2 linked regions of the Caenorhabditis elegans genome follow. The protein of the gene in region 2 interacts with the protein of the main gene of each other region in a pairwise test. Each region holds a gene or a part of one and is shown on either strand. Other genes may lie near its edges. The genes, in order: rbm-7 and vet-6.

Region 1 (5,925 bases), on a different chromosome or scaffold from region 2:
AAACTGATAAATAAATACTTTTTGCAGACGCTAAAACAATTTCCAAGTAAAAAAATCATGTATTCAGTGGGCAAGCAGCGGTGAAAGTGGGCATTGTAATATGATTATTGGCCACTTTCACCGCTGCTTGCCCACTGAATACATAATTTTTTACTTGGAAATTGTTTTAGCATCTGCAAAAAGTATTTATTTATCAGTTTTAATAAGAAAAAACGAAAAAAATCGATGAAAAACAAAAGAAAACAGGCGGAAAACAAAGCAAGATAAATGGCCGCTGAAACTTGTCGGCCCCTCGGCCATGGCCTAGAAACCACTTTTCCTCGTCCCTCGTGAGGAAAAAGTTGCAGTGGCGCGCGAGACAGATGTGGCGTTGTTCCAATTTCTTGGCAATTAGCCAAGAAAATGGGAGAACGAACGGGGAAGAAGAGATATGGGAGACGACGGGGGAGACCCAGAAAAGGCGGAAAGTGAAAGAGCTGGGGAAAAGTAGTGGAATATCAAATTTAATCAAAATTCTTCGAAAAAAGGGGTTTTTTGCATTAAAAATCATGTTTTATGTTCATTTTATGTTTTATTACATGTTATCAGTGAAAATAATTGTTTTTGTCATCAAAAAGTATTTGTGAGCATGCTCATGAGCACATATGTGTTTGAGACAAGATTTCTAACAATTTATGGTTTAAACACACTAAATAAAGTACGAAATTACGATTAGCGTTTAAAAAAAATCAAAAATCTTTGTAAAAAATGCCAAAGAAATCAAAATTTGATGTCTTATCATCATCATTTGTGGGTTTTTAATGAATCGTCTAGCAAAAGAGAGGCAGGAAATTGCACTTTTCAGAAAAAAAACCCCACGAGGGGGCGCCTGATCTTGTTTTTTCTCGATAAAAATTGCGGAACAACGGAGAAATATTTATTTATCAATCTAGAAAAATATTGTTCCTCATAGCCTGAACCTGAAAAGAACTTTCTAGTTTTTTTGAAACTGCTATGAAATAGTTAGTAAAACAAATAAATAATGACTCATTTGGGCGCTCTGACGATCTGAAAAGCAGGTAAATTCGTCATACAGGAGAAAAATGAGGAAGAAATAACCTTTTTTCTTTTGAATTAAAAAAAAGCGGACATTTTTCTGAGGAAGAAGGGGGCTAAAGGGTGGCTAAAGGGCTCTTGAGACGGATTCGATTTATTTTTTGAGGTAGAAATATGGATTTTTAAGTCAATTTAAGTTTGGTTTCAAACAAAGCTAATTCTCAGGAATTGAGCGGTTTAGCTGTATAAAAATTTTAAAAATAAATACACCGCTCGCTCCATGGAGAAATATTAATTTTTGCTTTAAATCGAACTGTAGAGCTCTGCGAGCCTCTTCTCCACTCGACACACGGAAAAAACTAGTAAAAGTACCTGAAATATACTTTGGAAACAATTAATTTTCACAAAAAACGGAAAAAGGTTAAGTAAATTTGCTAAAACAACCAGTTTTTGTCGGCTAGGTTCTACTTTTCTAGTGCCGTGCTGGCTTTTCTCTATGCACGAGATATGCGCCAGCAAAATCGAGAAACGCGTCAGCGAGGACATGTTTGCGCCATCCGGGAATGGGAATGGGATTTATTTGGTTTTTCTCGTTTTTCTCGCTTTTTCTCTCACATGAGTGAATTTTCAGCCTTTTTTTCGAAATTTCGAATTTAAATTTGAATTTTCAGCAAAAAATGGAAATAAAACCAACGCCATCGCCTCCAGAAGAGCGCACAATATACGTGGCCAATTTTTCAGAAGAAGTCGATGAAGAATTGCTCGAAGAGCTTTTTATTCAAGCCGGCCCCGTTGTAAAAGTTATTCTGAGAGATGTGAGGGATTCTAATGCAAAATTCGCATTGGTGGAGTTTGAGGTAAGCAATTTCGCTGAAAAATTTAAAAAAAAAAATAAATTTCAGGACGAATTATCTGTACTATTCGCCATTGAATTGATGAATGGAGTGCGACTTTTCAATCAAGAACTACAAGTAAAGCCGCGAAATGGCACAAATCAGGAGGAATTATATAAGCGAAAAAAAGGAGAAATCGAGGAAAGAGTTCGATCGGTAGCGGCACCGGATCGAGACGGAAGACGGGATAGCTATAGAGATGATCGGAACAGGAATAGGTAGAGTTTATTGGATTAATTCAAGGATTTTAAGGCTCAATTAGCACGATCTGACGCAGCAAACACAGCTTCTTCCGTTTGTCGACGGGAATCCGGAGGCGCGATCTGCGGAGAGCCCGGCGGCAAGAGCAACGGATGCACAACATCCTGGGCATCGTTCGGCTGGATTTGAAGCAGCGTCAGTGCACCGAGCATTTGTAGACTGGCCGTCAATGTTGGCGACGAAGCCGGCGGCAGTGGAGCAGGCTGGAAATTGAATTTTATTGATTTTTTAGCGTTAAAAATCGTACCAAAGCAACTTGGGAATCTGTTAGCATTGTTATTGTTCCAGATGATCTGAAAAGAAACAAAATTGATTTTTTTTTTGAATTTTATAATGAAACTTCTTGAAAACTTTTCCAAAAAAAATTATGACGGCTCAAAAAATGGCCTAAAATTCGTTAAAATCGGAAATTTGATCGACTTGTCAATGTCGCAGCGGCTGGAAATATATTTTTTTGAAATCACCGTTAAATTTTGAGTCTACAAGTTGATATTTTGCGTTTTAAACTTGATTAACAAGGAAAGTCGAAAAATTTAATGTCTGACTTTGGCATGACATAGTATTTTTCGATAAAAGAGTAAAAATAATGATGCCTCCAAAAAATTTAGCTGCCCGGTTCAGGTTCAGCAAAGTTATGACGTTTTGGAAGTGACTAAAACACCTTTTTACAAAATTTCAAAATTTTCAACAAAAAAAAATTTCTAAAAAGAGGAGCAAATGTGTGTAAATTATTCAAAACAATGAAAAACATATGCTATGCAAGTTTTAGGTTATACCTCTCAAGAAAACCCACAAATTAAATCTGCAAAAAAATGTACTTTTTGGAATTTTCCTCAAGTTATGTAGATCAAGCAATGTGCTTTTTGGTCTGTGGTGAGAAAAAACGTGTATGATAAATGTTTTTCTCATTTTTGGATAAGTTAAAACAGTTTTTTCCTCTTTTTAGAAAATTTTTTTTTTTTTTGAAAATTTTGAAATTTTGTAAAAAGGTGTTCCAGTCACTTTCAAAACGTCATAACTTTGCCGAACCTGGACCGGGCAGCTAAATTTTTTGGAGGCATCATTATTTTCACTCTTTTATCGAAAAAAATACTATGTCATGCCAAAGTCAGACATTAAATTTTTCGACTTTCCTTGTTAATCAAGTTTAAAACGCAAAATATCAACTCGTAGACTCAAAATTTAACGGTGATTTCAAAAAAAAAATATTTCCAGCCGCTGCGACATTGACAAGTCGGTCAAATTTCCGATTTCATCTAATTTTAGGCCATTTTTTGAGCCGTCATAACTTTTTTCTGAAAAGTTTTCAAGAAGTTTCATTATGAAATTCGGTGTTTTCAGACAATTTTGAGCCTAATAAGGCAATTTTTAAAAAAAATTCTACTACACCAGTGGTGTAACACCACCTTTAATTATAAAAAACATTATAAAAAACTCACGCTCTGCCCCGCAGCCACAGAAATTACAGCGAAAAATACGATAAGAAGCTTCATCTCTAACTCAGACGATGATAAAAAGATCAAATTCGGCTTTATTTTATACCCGGCGTTGGCTTGGTTTCTGTCTCACAACATTTTTTTTTTGATTAAAAATCTCAGAAATCGAAGAAAAACGTTGAAAATCAACAAAAAAAGGCCGAAAAATCATTTTTTTTTTGTCTTTTCCAGAAACGGAAACAACCGTGACTCATGGCAGCAGCAGCAGCCTCCTCGTCATCATCGACAATATGATCCTCTTCCACCTCCACCGCCACCTCCACTGATGGGAGGATCCGGAGGACATTGGAGAAGCGGAGGGGAAAGAGGTAGCAAAAAAATCGATTTTTAGTTGAAATTTCTGAAAAATTGGAGATTTTTAGGCCTGAAATACATGAGAACGGGCTCAAAATAACTGAAAAATGGAAAAAAAATCTTTTTTTTAAAAATTTTTTTTTGCAAAAAATTCAAAATTTCAACCTTTTTTCCGCAAAAAAACATGCTGAAACCCTAAAAATCGATAATTTGCAAGGTTTTTGCGGAAATTAGCCGGAAAATTTGATTTTTAAAAAATTGAGCCAATTTTTGAGGAATTTTAGAAGAACAAATCTATAATTTTTCCGAAACCCCCTCAATATAAGTGAGAAATCGGTGAAAAAATCTTAATTAGAAAAAATTTTTTTTTGTTCAAAAATCTGAAAAATTGGAGATTTTTAGCCCTAAATTGCATAAAAGCAGGCTCAATTTACCTAATTAGGCCTAAAATAACTCAAAAATTGGGAAAAAAAATTACACCAGACGAAAAAAAGAGCATCGTTTGTCCAATTTTCAGACATTTTTCCGCAAAAAAAAATTGCTGAAGCTCAAAAGTGGCCAATTTTAGAGAGTTTCAGGGACTTTTTTTGCGGCAAAAAGTCTGAAAAATCATTCCTAAAATCAAATATTAGAGAAAAATTCAATGAAAACCAATAAATTTTCTGCAGAAAAACGCAGAAATGTCGGAAAAATTCGTTAATTTTTCCAAAAAATCGATTTTTTTTGCAGAAGTTTCTGAAAAGTTCTAGATTTTTAGACCTAAATTTCATGAGAACAAGCTTAATGTACCTAAAATAACTAAAAAAAATTGAATAAAATTGAAAAAGCTGAAAAAAGTTCGCTGAAAAAAGTAACCAATTCAGCCGAAAAACGCAAGAATGTCGGAAAAAAAATCGAAAAATCAATATTTTCCAGGTCCTCCACAATATTCGACTCCGCAAATGCTTCCTCATCAACATTTTGTAAATCAAATGATGCAGCAACAAATTAATAGATCCGCTCCTCCGTACAATGGACGTCATCAGAATTCCACGCCACACCGTCATCACGATCGTCATGGATATGACCGAAGCTCGAGCCGGCATCATCGCAATGATGACAGAAGACGTGAACGTTATTGATCGATGATTCGGGCGGGAAATCATAATTATTTTGATCTTTTTCACTTGTTTTGCCATGTTTTTTGGTCTCATTTTATATATTTAATAAAAGCAAACACAATTTGAAAATATAGAGAAAAATGCAACAACAAAGATCTACTGGAAATTTTCAAAAAAATTTATTTTTAGGCTCCGCCCACTTCCTGGATATCCGGAAATTTCAAGTGATTTTTTTGGAATTTTTTTCCTTTCCAGAAAAACAGATATCTCCAGGAAGTGGGCGGGGCCTAATAAGCCGTTTTTTTTTGAAAAATAAAAAAATCCAAAAAAATTTATTTTTAGGCTCCGCCCACTTCTTGGGCATTCGGAAATTTTCAGTGTTTTTTTTGGAATTTATTTTCCAAAATAACCTATCTCCAAGAAGTGGGCGGGGCCTAAAAAGCAGTTTTTTTTTGAAAATTGTTAAAAAATCAAAAAATTCGGATTTTTTTTGGAAAATCCTAAAAATTCAGAAATTCCACAGAAAAAAAACACCTTTTTTTCAATTTTGGCTAAATTTTGGCCGACCAACCAGCGAATTGCTTCGCCCACTTTCCGACCAATCAGGTGAGAGGTCCACCTTTATTATTTCATTAAAAGTAAACAATTTGAAGAAGGAAAAAAAAACGAAATAACAATAAGGATCTACACACTAGAATTTGGTTATAAATCAATTTTTCTGAATTGTCAGCGGTAGTGGTTGAAGTTCGGTGAATCCGACACGCATTCCGACGCCTTCTGGGATGTTTCGTTGGATGTATTCGAGGAATGTTGAAGCTGTGGAGCCAGTCACGTTGAGGATCTGGA
Region 2 (5,371 bases):
TCTGTCAATCTATTTTTTGTCTGTCAATCTATTTTTTCGTCTGTCAATCTATTTTTTTCGTCTGTCAATCTATTTTTCGTCTGTCAATCTATTTTTTCGTCTGTCAATCTATTTTTTCGTCTGTCGACAGACGACAATTTTTCCAATTTAAAAAAATCATATCTAGCTTTAAACTAACATTTTCAAAAATCCCTGTCATTTTGTTGCAAATTTTGTGGTCTTTCAGAATTTGGAAACCAAATTTGAAAAAGTTTCATATTCACTGAGTTCAAGCAGAAAAAGTGGAATGTCAGTCATACCGTTTAGTGGACAAATTCAAATTGAGACGTGTATCAATGTTTGAGACACACCTGAAACATGTTTTAGTCTAGGGTAGGGCTGTCTACGGTAGACGTCGCGCCTAGGCTCTATTTCCCTCCGACACCCTCTTCCCAACTTGACCTCCCGGAGACTATAGCTCGTCCAATTGGTCATTTTACTTTTTCGTCCACTCATTATTTCATTTTTTCTCTTCCCCTACTTACCTAGGTCTGGCTCGAAAGTATTTTAAGAATCTCAGTGGCCCTATTCGGGGAACCTAAGCCATTGCTTCTAATAAAATTTGCTTCTTATAAATTGCTTCTAATAAAATTGCATTCTAATAAAAAAACATAATTTATTGAAATTAATTATCAAAAAAGGACAGGTCAGAACAATGAAAATCAAATGGAAATATTGCAAAAATGAATATATTTTCAGATGCCGGTAGTTCCAGCCGAATTATTACATCTCATCGCATACAACGTGTAGACTTTGGCGCTGGGAAGTTCCATATAACCATTGTGAAGCCCGTTGAGTTGCTCCTTCTTAATTCTTCCATTAACATCCTTCATAAAAATTGTGAATGGGTGATTTGGAGCAGAAACGGTGAAAAGCACTGTTGAGCTATGGGCCTTCGATGAATCGTAGACGATTTCCGGACATGTAACTTGATAGAAACATTTTCCTGTCACGCAATACATATACTTCTCAATCTCCTTTGTGAAATCGTTGAAGACATGAATTACATAGGTTTTGATAGAATCAGCGTACTCTGCGTATAATGGACACAAGTGCCATTCCTCAACATTTAATGGGCATCCCGAACAGTTGAGTTGCTCGAATTGCTGTGTAGATGGGTTGAATGCGTACTTGAGATAATGTCCCAATCGACTGGAGAAGATATAGAGAGCACTCTGACTGTATGTTGGACACCAGCGGATTGTGGATAATGGAAGAGTACTGGATGGTTCTTGAACCATCTCCACACCCTCCAGCTCCTTCATCAAAAGAGTTCTCACTTCAACACTCGGAATCTTCACATACTTTCCATATCTGAACTCCAGCTTCTTCACACCAAATCGTGACTTTTGGATGATCACTTGATCATCTCCATCTCCATTGACTGCTGCTACAAAATCAGTGTTTTTCGGTCCTTGAGCTGGTTGCACCTCCGGATAGTTCACTTGCTCGAATCCCCCAGTCTTGAAGCTGAACATGTACTGCTCATCTTTTTGCTTTGTCACCATATTGTCCATGAAAATCACGAAATTGGAGATTTTCTCGTTCCAAACTGCACACGTGGGGAATAAGTGGTTTTCTTGAACTCTTGGAACACAGGCAAGACACTTGTGCTGCTCGAATTTCTCCTCTTGATGATTGTAGGTGTATACGTGAGAAGGTCTCTTCCAGCAATAGACACTGTAAGTTGTGACATTTCTTGATGTGCAATGACGGATCCTGATTGGAGAAGAGTGTTGTCTGTTGGTGCACATCCGAGGATTACATTCTGAAAATAATAATATGATTAAAAGATTTGTGGTACTTAATTAGTTACCTTGTCTCGCACCATATCCTGGGGCTTCGGACCAGACAACTGGAGCAGAGGTGGGTGCTGATTCCTGGGTAGTTTCTGGAGTTACTTCTGTTGGCTCTGACTGTGATGTAGATTCTACATTTGTGGTCGAAATGTTTTCTTCAGTAATCTCTGAGGCTTCAACGAACGCATTATTGAGCAATGAGTTCACTTCTTGACTTTCAGAATCAAAACAAGAAGCAAGTGTCTGAGAAGTCTGAAGTTCATAAAGCCTCAAAGCTTGACGATGAAACTCGACCATCTGTTTTTCGGAATCTACACCAGGGTGGTGTACTAGATCCGGATATGATGTGATGTCTGCAAAAAGATTTTATAATTAATTATAGTTTCGTATATTAATAAATATATTAAATTACCTTGGTTTATATCGGAACTTTCAGAGTTGAACCAAGAAACTGGGGCCGAGGTGAGCGGTGATGTCTGGGTAGTTTCAGGATCTAGTTGAGTTGCTGGATCTACATTTGAGGTAGAAATGCTTTCTGGAGCAATCTGTGAGGCTTCAGTGGTTTGAGTCGGTGTCTTCTTGGTACGAATGCCGGACAGATTCACTATTTCATTGAACAACGGGATTAATTCGCTGGATGCCGGCTTTAGCAGATCCAAAAGTTGATCTTCTGATTCCTTTAAACGACAGATCTCTGCATACTTTGAAGCACGCTCTTTGACATCTTTATCAGACTCCATCGGATATTCATTAAGATCCTTGCAAAGCTCATTGGTTGTTTTCCGATAAGCCTCTTCTACCGCTTCTAAGTGTTTCCTGCTTGCATTAACCGCTTCACAGTATTTTAGAAAACCAGTAGAAGCATGCAAATTCAGTACTGTCATGAAGTCTTTTCGAGCGTTTGACAGCTCGCGGCGCTTGGGAAAATATTCTGCGAAGAGCTGTATGGTAGCAGCTGTCAATCCAGTTGAGCGATCTTTTAATACCGCTGAATCACCAATCTTTGCATACTTCGAAGCTTGACGTTGAAGCTCTACCATCCGCTTTTCGAAATCTTCATCAGCGGTCGATTTCTTTGGTTCGGCAACATATTCATTTCGAACCAAGGGTGGTGGAAGTGTAGAGTTGTATCGTTGAGTTGGGATAAAAACTCCGTCTCTGATGGCTTCTTCTCGGAATTCGGCATCCAGAACAGCTTTTTTGGCGGCTAAATCTTGATCATTGGTTGAAGATGGATTGCTTTCTGAAATTAAAGGATTAGAAAATCTATAATCTTCAAAGAGTAATGAAAACTGACCTCGATTTTTAATAGAACAAGATTCCGGACTCTCCCTCACTGCATCCGCGAATGAACGGCGAACCATATGAAATTCTTCTACTTTGCTCTGATGAGCTTTTTGTGCCGCTTGAACATTCTTCCAGCATGTGTTAACAACTTCAAGGTGATTTTGAGAGCCAGTAGACTTGTGCATGTTTCTTGCAGCCACATAGTCTTTTTGTGCCTTTTCCAGATCTTTGACCATTTCAGAACGTTCGCGATTGAGTTGTGAGAGAGCAGATTTCAATTCAAGTGCAGAGTTGGAACTCATCGTTGGAGTTTACTTTCTGGAAATTGAAGATAATTAGAATCTTCTAGACAAGACAATACGACAAAACAGGTAACAGAAAAATAAGGAAAATAATTGAAAAAAGGAAAGAAAAAACCAGCTCACCAACCAGGAAGGGCAGTTGAAGATTGAATGACTGGAAGACTGAGTGGTAAGGTGCCTGAAATCTGTCAGACTCCATTTGCGCGTTTTGGGTTATCGATTACCCATAAAGTGATTTATCTGGACAAAGGAGGAGCCTGCCATTGTCTGAAAAGGAGACGATGGCAACCCTCTTATAGTGGAGTCCCAGGAGACCGAATATCTAGAAAAACACTGAGCATCTGTCAAATGACACTAATATTCTCCCACTCTTGCAATAAATTGGGACGTACAGTCAAGTCTGTTTTGCTGAATTACAGTGCCTTTTCTTTTAATGTTTCATCTTACTTTGCCAAGCAATTTCAAACTAGGGTATACAGTGCGTCCAACTTCTATAGCACCCCCCTCCAATTTGGCGGTTTGGAGCTTCTCAAAATATTTTTTGAAAAAGTGCTAGTGCAGTTCGATAGCAAATGTTGAAAAACCTATGCTCCCCAATTTTCATTATGATATCTCAAAAATCACAGGAATTAGGTCAAAATATCGGAAAAATGGCCGTCCAACTTCTATAGCACCCCCTCTGATTTTTGGCAATTTTCGGTAAAATCGGGGTTTTCTTCTTAATTAATAAATTTATTTTGTGAATAACTTTACAACAAAATGTTCAGACGGTTTCATTTTCACATTTAAAAAATAAATATAACCCCTGAAAACACGTGGAACGCCTAGGATTGTCCTGGAACGTTCGTATTTGCTTCAGAGGCCATTTCTCGGCTCCCAATGATTTTCGCAGCACCAAACTTGACCAAAATGATCTTCCCCACCTATTTATTACTATTCAAATAATTGTTGAAAACATTTATTCATATGAACCAAATGGTAAAGGGAGCAACTGCAGTGATTTTCAAAAGGCTTGATTTAACTATGAAAACTAGCGTTTGGAGGCGCAGAGCTGAAGGTTGGTAATACATTTTCGACTAAGAATTACTAAATTATAGCAAAAAAAAAAAATTATATTATGTGAACATCAAATCTGTGGAAATCCATGGATACATCAAATGCTAGACATCTACATTCACCGATTCAGGTTTTGTCTGTTAGCTTTTAGGTTCTTTGACCATAGAAATATTCAATGAGCAAATTCGCTAAATTTCAGTTGAGTTATAAATACAGCTAGAAAAATCGCCATTCAGAAAGTTATATCTTACTTTCGTCTTTAAAATTTTCGCGTGTTAGCTTGAGAAAAATACTTGCGGCCTCGCTTTGCCTTTGTCCTCTTTTGAGCGGTCTCATGAACTTTTCCGAATAAATTTTCGAAGACTTCTAATCAAAATCAAAGCTTCAAGGATATTTGAACCGGATGAGCTAAAATTCTGTACAATAGGAAGTCAAAACCATCAGCTCTGCGCCTCCAAACGCTAGTTTTCATAGTTAAATCAAGCCTTTTGAAAATCACTGCAGTTGCTCCCTTTACCATTTGGTTCATATGAATAAATGTTTTCAACAATTATTTGAATAGTAATAAATAGGTGGGGAAGATCATTTTGGTCAAGTTTGGTGCTGCGAAAATCATTGGGAGCCGAGAAATGGCCTCTGAAGCAAATACGAACGTTCCAGGACAATCCTAGGCGTTCCACGTGTTTTCAGGGGTTATATTTATTTTTTAAATGTGAAAATGAAACCGTCTGAACATTTTGTTGTAAAGTTATTCACAAAATAAATTTATTAATTAAGAAGAAAACCCCGATTTTACCGAAAATTGCCAAAAATCAGAGGGGGTGCTATAGAAGTTGGACGGCCATTTTTCCGATATTTTGACCTAATTCCTGTGATTTTTGAGATATC

The links.
Region 1: the proteins of vet-6 (region 2) and rbm-7 interact in a two-hybrid assay, tested with the Caenorhabditis elegans proteins (one large-scale study listed by BioGRID).

The regions. Positions count from the first base shown.
Region 1 is NC_003281.10:12,927,649-12,933,573, reverse strand, and holds rbm-7 (RRM domain-containing protein), read left to right. Parts: upstream 1-1,706; 5' UTR 1,707-1,712; coding exon 1,713-1,892; intron 1,893-1,937; coding exon 1,938-2,146; exon of another isoform or gene 2,147-2,186; coding exon of another isoform or gene 2,187-2,392; intron 2,393-2,436; coding exon of another isoform or gene 2,437-2,482; intron 2,483-3,628; coding exon of another isoform or gene 3,629-3,682; exon of another isoform or gene 3,683-3,701; intron 3,702-3,856; coding exon 3,857-3,993; intron 3,994-4,894; coding exon 4,895-5,100; 3' UTR 5,101-5,204; downstream 5,205-5,925. Other genes in the region: Y37D8A.19 (uncharacterized protein), read right to left, coding at 2,187-2,392, 2,437-2,482, 3,629-3,682; mrps-10 (Small ribosomal subunit protein uS10m), read right to left, coding at 5,789-5,920.
Region 2 is NC_003279.8:13,268,056-13,273,426, reverse strand, and holds vet-6 (Very Early Transcript), read right to left. Parts: upstream 3,444-5,371; 5' UTR 3,428-3,443; coding exon 3,136-3,427; intron 3,082-3,135; coding exon 2,251-3,081; intron 2,192-2,250; coding exon 1,856-2,191; intron 1,808-1,855; coding exon 735-1,807; 3' UTR 645-734; downstream 1-644.